Linked DNA regions of Coturnix japonica. The protein of the gene in region 2 purifies or fractionates together with the protein of the main gene of each other region. This does not show direct contact. Links are inferred from orthologs where the notes say so. Each region holds a gene or a part of one and is shown on either strand. Other genes may lie near its edges.

The links.
Region 1: the proteins of SMC2 (region 2) and NCAPG2 purify together in Homo sapiens (affinity purification with western blotting; 4 studies listed by BioGRID and IntAct, with this or other methods). This does not show direct contact. The link is inferred for Coturnix japonica from reciprocal best matches to the Homo sapiens genes SMC2 and NCAPG2.

The regions. Positions count from the first base shown.
Region 1 is NC_029517.1:8,484,546-8,488,370, forward strand, and holds part of NCAPG2 (condensin-2 complex subunit G2), read right to left. Parts: intron 3,170-3,825; coding exon 3,099-3,169; intron 2,808-3,098; coding exon 2,654-2,807; intron 2,474-2,653; coding exon 2,300-2,473; intron 1,833-2,299; coding exon 1,716-1,832; intron 1,604-1,715; coding exon 1,460-1,603; intron 390-1,459; coding exon 290-389; intron 1-289. UniProt on the Homo sapiens protein: Regulatory subunit of the condensin-2 complex, a complex which establishes mitotic chromosome architecture and is involved in physical rigidity of the chromatid axis.
Region 2 is NC_029547.1:59,008,933-59,012,757, forward strand, and holds part of SMC2 (structural maintenance of chromosomes protein 2), read right to left. Parts: coding exon 3,732-3,825; intron 2,992-3,731; coding exon 2,853-2,991; intron 2,665-2,852; coding exon 2,545-2,664; intron 2,267-2,544; coding exon 2,062-2,266; intron 1,525-2,061; coding exon 1,389-1,524; intron 1-1,388. UniProt on the Homo sapiens protein: Central component of the condensin complex, a complex required for conversion of interphase chromatin into mitotic-like condense chromosomes.

The DNA.
Region 1 (3,825 bases), on a different chromosome or scaffold from region 2:
ATGTACATATACTACTGTGTGACATACCAATTATGTAACAGGAATTTAACAGCAAGGAAAAAACATCAGCCACCAACAATGATAAGATGCTGGACAGTTTCTCTGCTTGTTTTCAACTTGCTGAAAAGCTGTTGTTATTTCTCACCATATGAATGATATTAGCATCAACTATAAATACTGTTTTTTGAGAAAGAGATTCCACAAAACAAAAAAGCAACAGTTCTGTCAATATACAAACATGTCACCTAATTGTGTGTGAAGGTGCTGATGTTAGCACTATATTTCGTACCTGTTTGTATTACTGAAAGTGCCATATCTAAAAAGTGCAGTTGAAACTTGACATTTCCAAGACCAACCATTATGACATCTTTGCAGATTGACAGATAGGCCTAGAAAAGAGAAGCAGAAATAAATCAGAACAAAAACATTACTATAAAAAACAACAGTTCAGTAGTAGTGAGAAGCAATAAGAATATAAAATCCAAGGAATCATTTAATTCTCTTTTGTTAATCAGCCAGCATTTCAATGAGTTGGGCCATTCAAAGACACAGACTGTGATTAAAGTTTGTCCGAATCTTTCCCTTGACTAGAATTTGAAAAGACCCACAGCTCAGTGGTAAAATCTGCACTATGTTAAGTGAGACATATGGGAAATACAACAGAAGACAATTAAAAATTTGCTTATATATTACCTAATCACGTGCCTTCTGTGTACCTACTAACAAGGAACATTATTACTGACTCATCATGCAGAATATCAGTTCTGTTGTTGATAACTACCTATTTCATTTTTTATCAGTACATTCATTTTCGGTTTCTGTTCAGACCTGGGAAATTGATCAAACACATTCTAGAAATTCTGGTACATATTCTTTATTTGGTGTCTTGTCTTTCTGTAAGATTGAATTCTATGACCGCAATCTTTTGACAAATAGCCAGAGCTGCAGCATGCATGTCAATTATTTCATTTTGAAAAGAGACAATAGCTTATTAAACACACAATTAATCTGTCCCAGGAACAACTACAGCACTTACTTAATGCCTCTTTAGAGCCTTCTAAAAGTCATTTGGCTGCAGCAGTGCGAATCCAAGTCAGTGAACGACTCACTTCCTCACTACTCCCTCATTAATTCCCAGGGAACTCCCACTCTCACTCTGCTGACTTCCATAGATATGTTTCCTGGTACTCAGTACCAGAATTAAGTATGCTGAATTAATTCCTCAGGATATAGTTCTACCTGTTTCTTTTGGGAAAGCAGGAAGGAAAGAAGGAAGCAAAGCAAACCAACACGATTAGATTTAAAACCTCTTCTACAATAACATGACCTTCCTGGGCTTCCAAATCATCCTCTATAATGCACTGGACATTTTGGATAACAGTGTTTGTAAACCTGAAGTTTACATATACCACTTATTTGGCTGGAGGTAGTTTGATTTATGTGAGAAGGGACCTCTAACCTGGATTATTAATTCAGGAACATTACTCTGTTTTGAAATTCCATCCTCTTGTTCACTTGCGAGTAGAAAAGGTAAAATGTGACTTTCTACCCAAGCTCCCATGTCCTGCAGATGTGACAGATAATCTTTTCCTTCTTCCGAAAACTGGAAAACAAAATTAGAAGTTTATAAACTTTTGAATTCCAATTCTTTTGGAATTTCCTTAGACTGTCAGCTTTAACTCCTGCTTATACTGAAATATAAAGTATAAACATACCTTGTTTTGAAGATGAATACTCAACCTGCAACACAGGCTGAAGGCTCTTAAGCCAGTTCCTTGATTGCAGCTACCACGATTCATTTCAATTGTTTTCAGAACTGAGCCAAGAATCTCCTGAAATATCAAAGTTCACATTTATATTTGCCAGAAAAATCTTTCAAAAAAGTTTTGTTGTGTTTTTCTCAACACTTTTAAACAGAAGATTTTAAAATAAGAAGGAAAAAAAAAAAAACAAAAAGGCAAAATTAAGAAGCCTGATTTCAATTATTTTAATTGTGAAATGCTAGAACTGATTTTCAAGACTATTCCTTACATTCTGAAAGTCAGGTTCCTTACAAATACTCAACACTGGATCACAAAAATTAGAGGCACCTAGAAGTGAAAAAGCAATTAAAATTTGCCACCGATAAACAATTGTGAACTAATAATATACTTCCAGTTTAGAACATCTGTCTGAAGTAGAAGGGGAAGAAGCTGTAACAAAGCCTACTTAGGTATTCCCAGAGCTTTAATTTGAGAAAGGCAATCTATAATATGATGCACTCTTTTATAAGCATTGCTTGTGGTAAGGATAACACTACCTTAGCAGCACTGAGAACTTTCAGAAGATGGTTCAGTTTCTTTTTAGGAACAGAGAGTAGGTAACTACGATTAACAGGATGAGTCAATAAATATTCAATGTAATCAAGTGCTAATTCTGGCTTCGATTCATGTGTCACGTGGATACGTACTCGCCGTTCTGATGTTTTAACATTCTAAAGGAGAAGGAAGCACAACATTAGTAAGGTACAGTTAGTACTTTACAATTTTTACAGTTAATTTCAAAGAAAGAAAATACAGCATGTGAGAAGCTGCTCCTTAAAGAAAAAAGAAAAAACCCACAACAAAGGAAAAACGCAGTTATGTAATCTAACAATTCCTTGATGTCTCCATACCTTTTTTGGGGTTAGCGTGTCTGACAACCAGTCACAGGCAAGTTCCAACACATGGCTCACTTGACCCCAGCGACACATACAGTCTATCAGAGTAGAGTATTTGCTTTGGTCAGCCCCACTGTCCATGTTTCTGAGTTTGGAGATCACACCACAGCTTAGATTGAAAAGATAAAAGGAAAAAGATGTGTTAACTTCATATTTATCATTGTAGAAATTATTCACAGATAATCAAGTAATATACCACCAAAAGAGACACGCAGGTGGCTCAGAGATATATTTATACCATGCAGATTTTATCAACTCGGTACATTTATTTAGCAGATTATTTTATACAAGTTTACCCAAATTATCCAATCTATCAAAATGGGCATTTAAAATGTCAGCTTGTGAAAAATTTAACACAAGTCAACAAGTGCCACTCGCATTTTGGATTTAAAAATAGTACCTGAATGTAGGAATAGCAGCAGGGGGCATAAAGGATGCCAGGATAACCAATGGAGTTATGCAGCGGTCATCCTATGAAATAAAAGGTGCACTATAATGACGTACACATACAGACATCATGCAAAATTTAAGAGATAAAGTATGATTCAATTATATCAATTTAAGCATTTATTTCATTTCACTAGAGGTGGAAGTAGAAAAACATCACGTCTTACAATCTGCAACTGACAAATTTAACACAGAAATACCCCAGAAGTTGTTACAACACATCAAAATACGACGTACAGAAACTGACCAGTGTGACAAACTGTTTAGAAATAACGTATCTGTTGTCCACGCTTCAGGAGTTCAATCAAATAAAATTATTATTCATTTTAACATCTGAAGAGCTGAAATCTTTTAAAGTTGATTTTTTAAAATAACATTTTAAACAACAACAAAAAAAGCACGTAGGTTTTCAGGATAGAGATACTTTGACTCAACCTGTAGTCTCCTAGAAAATAAGCTCCTGATGACAAGATTGTTTTAGATGCAAGCTGCTCACTCACTGTAAGAATATCACTCAAGAGGTTGCTTGCTGAAGCTGGATCTCTTGCCTGATCACCAGAACTTCAGAGGAGGGTTTCCAAAAAAGGCTTGGAATGTCTTTGACAAATCCAAACATTTTCGGGGTAGAAAGAGTATTTGCTAGATCTGTACTGCAGAATATAATGTAGAAATGAACAGAC
Region 2 (3,825 bases):
TGATATCCAGCATCACCTGGACATGTTTGAAAATGCAGGCACAGTCCTTAGTCACAACAGAGGAAATATTTTAGATAGTGGAATAGCTATTTTCTAAATATTTAATTTTCCTTAGGCCCTATCCTCTCCTCCAGAAAATTAGTTTATGTGAGTTGTCTTTATACTGTGTATGGGAACTGTTGAGTCCCAGCCTGAACTACTGATTGAGCACCTGGGGAAAAGACCTGGTCAGCTCTGGGAGCACAGATGAAAGCGATTCACCTGTGGGACTGGAAGGGGTGGAGCCTGGCTGCATCTCCCTTAGACCTCCCTGAAGGGCTGACTATCCCTATCACTAGGGAAGGAGCACTTTCTGGAGATTCTGCCTTGATGAAGCTTTTCCCTGCAAACCTATTATCTTCTGATAGATCTCCTTTATAGCACTTTTCTACCATGCAGGTCCTTCTGTCACTGCACAGATGACAGATCCCTCTGAAGGACCTCCCTATGATCTGCCTGAGGGTAGAGAGGCCTTTCAGAGGGATCTAGATAAGCTGGTTCACTGGGCTGAGGTTCAACAAAGCCAAGTGTTGGGTCCTGAACTTTGGCCACAATAACCCCATGCAGTGTTATAGGCTTGGGGCAGAGTGGCTGGATGACTGTGAAGAGGAAGTGGACCTGGGGGTGTTGGTTGATGCTCTGCTGAACATGAGCCGACAGTGTGTCCAGGTGGCCAAGACAGCCAACGGCATCCTGGCCTGCATTAGAGATAGTGTGGCCAGCAGGAGCAGAGAGGTACTCAGCGCTAGTGAAGCTGCATCTTGAGTACTGTGTTGTTTTGGGCCCCTCACTACAAAAGACAGTCCACAGAAGGTCAGTGAAACTGGTGAGGGGTCCAGAGCACAACACTTATGAGAAGTGGCTCAAGGAGCTGGGATTGTTTAGCCTGGAGAAGAGGAGGCTCAAGGGAGACCTCATTGCACCTACAACTTCATAAGGGGAGGTTGTGGTGAGGAGAGGTTTGGCCTCTTCTCCCAGGCAACAAACAGGACCTGAGGAAACGGCTGCAAGTTGTACCAGGGAAGGTTTAGATTAGACATAAGGAAAAACTTTTTCTCTCAGGGAGTGGTCAGGCACTGGAATAGCTGCCCACGGAGGTGGTAGAGTCGCCATCCCTGGCAGTGTCCAAGAGGCATCTGGATGAGGAGCTAGGAGATATGGTTTAGAGGCTTGTGGTAGCAATGGGAATGGGAGCACAGCTGGACTAGATGATCTTGTAGGTCCTTCCCAACCTTGTGGTCCTATGATTCACACCTTTGTTGTAACATCTTTCCCATCATATCGATCTGTCCAACAGTTACATAGTCACATAAGAGAAATAACAGACATTTATACTACGCAAACCTTACTTTTCAGCTGTATTCTTTAAGTTTGCTAGCTCTCTCTCTACAGCTTCAAGTAGAGACTTCTTTATTTTGAGTTTTTCTTCAGCTTCTCTCATAGTTTTAAGTTTAACCAATATAGATGTAACATGCGCGCTTGCACCTGTTCAGAGAAAAAAAGAACAAAGTTAAATCTGATTGGAATTAGATTCAACTCTGGCAAGTGATGAATTGTAAATACTGGCTACGATGCAGGTTTTAGTTCATCATCTGTTTTCATTGCAAAACAGAAGAACAGCTAAGCAATCATTCTCAATGGAGAGACTACAAATTAATTTAGTGAAATCATCCAACTTAACATATTGTCATGTGTGAATTTACCTCAAATAAATTATGAAATATTCCAAAAAATGTTTGAGTTCAAAGCACTCTTTCCAACCTCCTCCAAGATGTTTCAATAGCCAAACATGTATCTAATACATAAACTATATTATGCTAATATTTTATCGGTTTTTTCCTAGTCTAACTGTAGTCTTACTTCAGTGTACAACCACCAAATCTTTTCTCAAAGATGATGTTATCTCAAGTACGAGTTTAAACAACAACAACAAAAAAGCCTCTTTCCATTTTTAACAATATGCAGGGCAGTAAACAAATCAACAAAAACACAATTATTATATGAATACAAAACAGTAATTGCCTCCACTTAGGGTTCCCTGAGGGTCGAATATTTCTCCTTGAAGTGTAACACTTTTTTTCATTATTCTTTTGTCAAAGGTCACTTTCTTAGCTTTATCCATGTTGCTACAGACCAGTGTTGTGCCAAAGACAAATTCCATGGCCTTCTGTAGTTCGATATTATAATCAATTAGCGAAATGGCTATATGCACATCAAGATGACCGATCTAGAAATAAAGTGAAATGCAATTAGTATGTCTTAAGTTACAAGAATCTTATTTCGATAAAAATAATTTTTAAGTCATTCTTACATTTTAAATCATAATTTCAGGTAAAAGCAAAACAATTAAGATCTATCTGAATACTGGATAGTTCAAGGATAGTGAGGGAAAAAAAATTAAGAAACCCTCAAACTCTACAGAAATAGTATGACTGCTACATTATGCTAAAAAAATTGAAAAGGAAAAAAAAGCATGCAATAAAAACACAGTATTTATGTACATACCAGTTCTTTGGCCAGTGAGATAATTTCATATCCAATACACTTGGCTGAAATTTTGTTTAGTGGAATGATGGTGTAACGATGCTTTAGTTGACCCTTTTCTATAATCTTCCTGCCAGTAGCCTAGAATGAGAAAAGCCACCTTTCAGAGCATATTCAAATATTAAGACAATAGGGCATTCCAGTAGCATCATTTCATCAACAGTATCTATGTATGACACTTGCTGACTTAAATTAAGTAGGTACCTGGGACCAAATCACCTCTTAGGCATTAAGACACTAAGCACGCGTTTGCTTATTGACACACATACCTCTGTGTCCACCACAATGTGATAGAGTTTTCCCCCAGCCACTGCTTCTAGGGCTTTTGATGTGGATATGTCTTTCACAGTGATGAGTGTTACAACAAGGCCTTTCACATAGCTGGGATTCCAATTTTTTTCTGGATTTCTTAGAAAAACAAAATCAGTTATGACAACCATGTTTGGTTCTCTTCCTGACATCTTCAAAAACTATATTAGAAACTACTATTATTTACAAGGGTAGAAGAAACCCTAATTCTATTAGACAAAATAAACAAAAAAATATTAATTTAACTACTTCAAAGCAAGAGACTTCCCAGTAAGAAGTCAGTTACAAAGCCAACAGAGGAATGTCCTTCCTGCGTTTAGTATGATTTGTTCACACAGATCTCAGTTATTAGCGCAATTACGGGAATATGCTCTGGTTGATTTTACATAATAAAACACATATGAGATTACATATATGTTGTAAAAACAGACACAACTTTCACTTCCACAGAGCAAATTTATTCACAGACCTCAGACAGGACTGAAAATTGTTAACGTTTTTGCAGATTAGTCTGTTGGACTGCTATAGTTTCAGCTAATTAACTTGACTTAGGAATTGCAGCACCATGTTACAGAACTTCTAAATTCACATTATATTGATAAGGTTGTATTTAAAGAATGACTGTGTCCTCTTCACTGATGCCTACTAATTCAGCTAGAATTTCCTGACTTTACTAACCTGTTAACTTGCCTCAGATAAGAGAATCAATATTCACTGACAGTACAAGAAAAACAACTGCCAAGGATTCAATGGAATAATTTTTATAGTCTCATAATTCATGTGTTAAATGCACCAAGCAGCACCTGAAAATGTAATTCAAAATGACACTGAGATCTTACTTGTACTCGAAATGTAGATGAGGATGCTTCGCTGCTATACTTTCACACAGTTCTCTCAGAGAAATGATCTCAGAAATCAGTGCCTTCTTCTTTG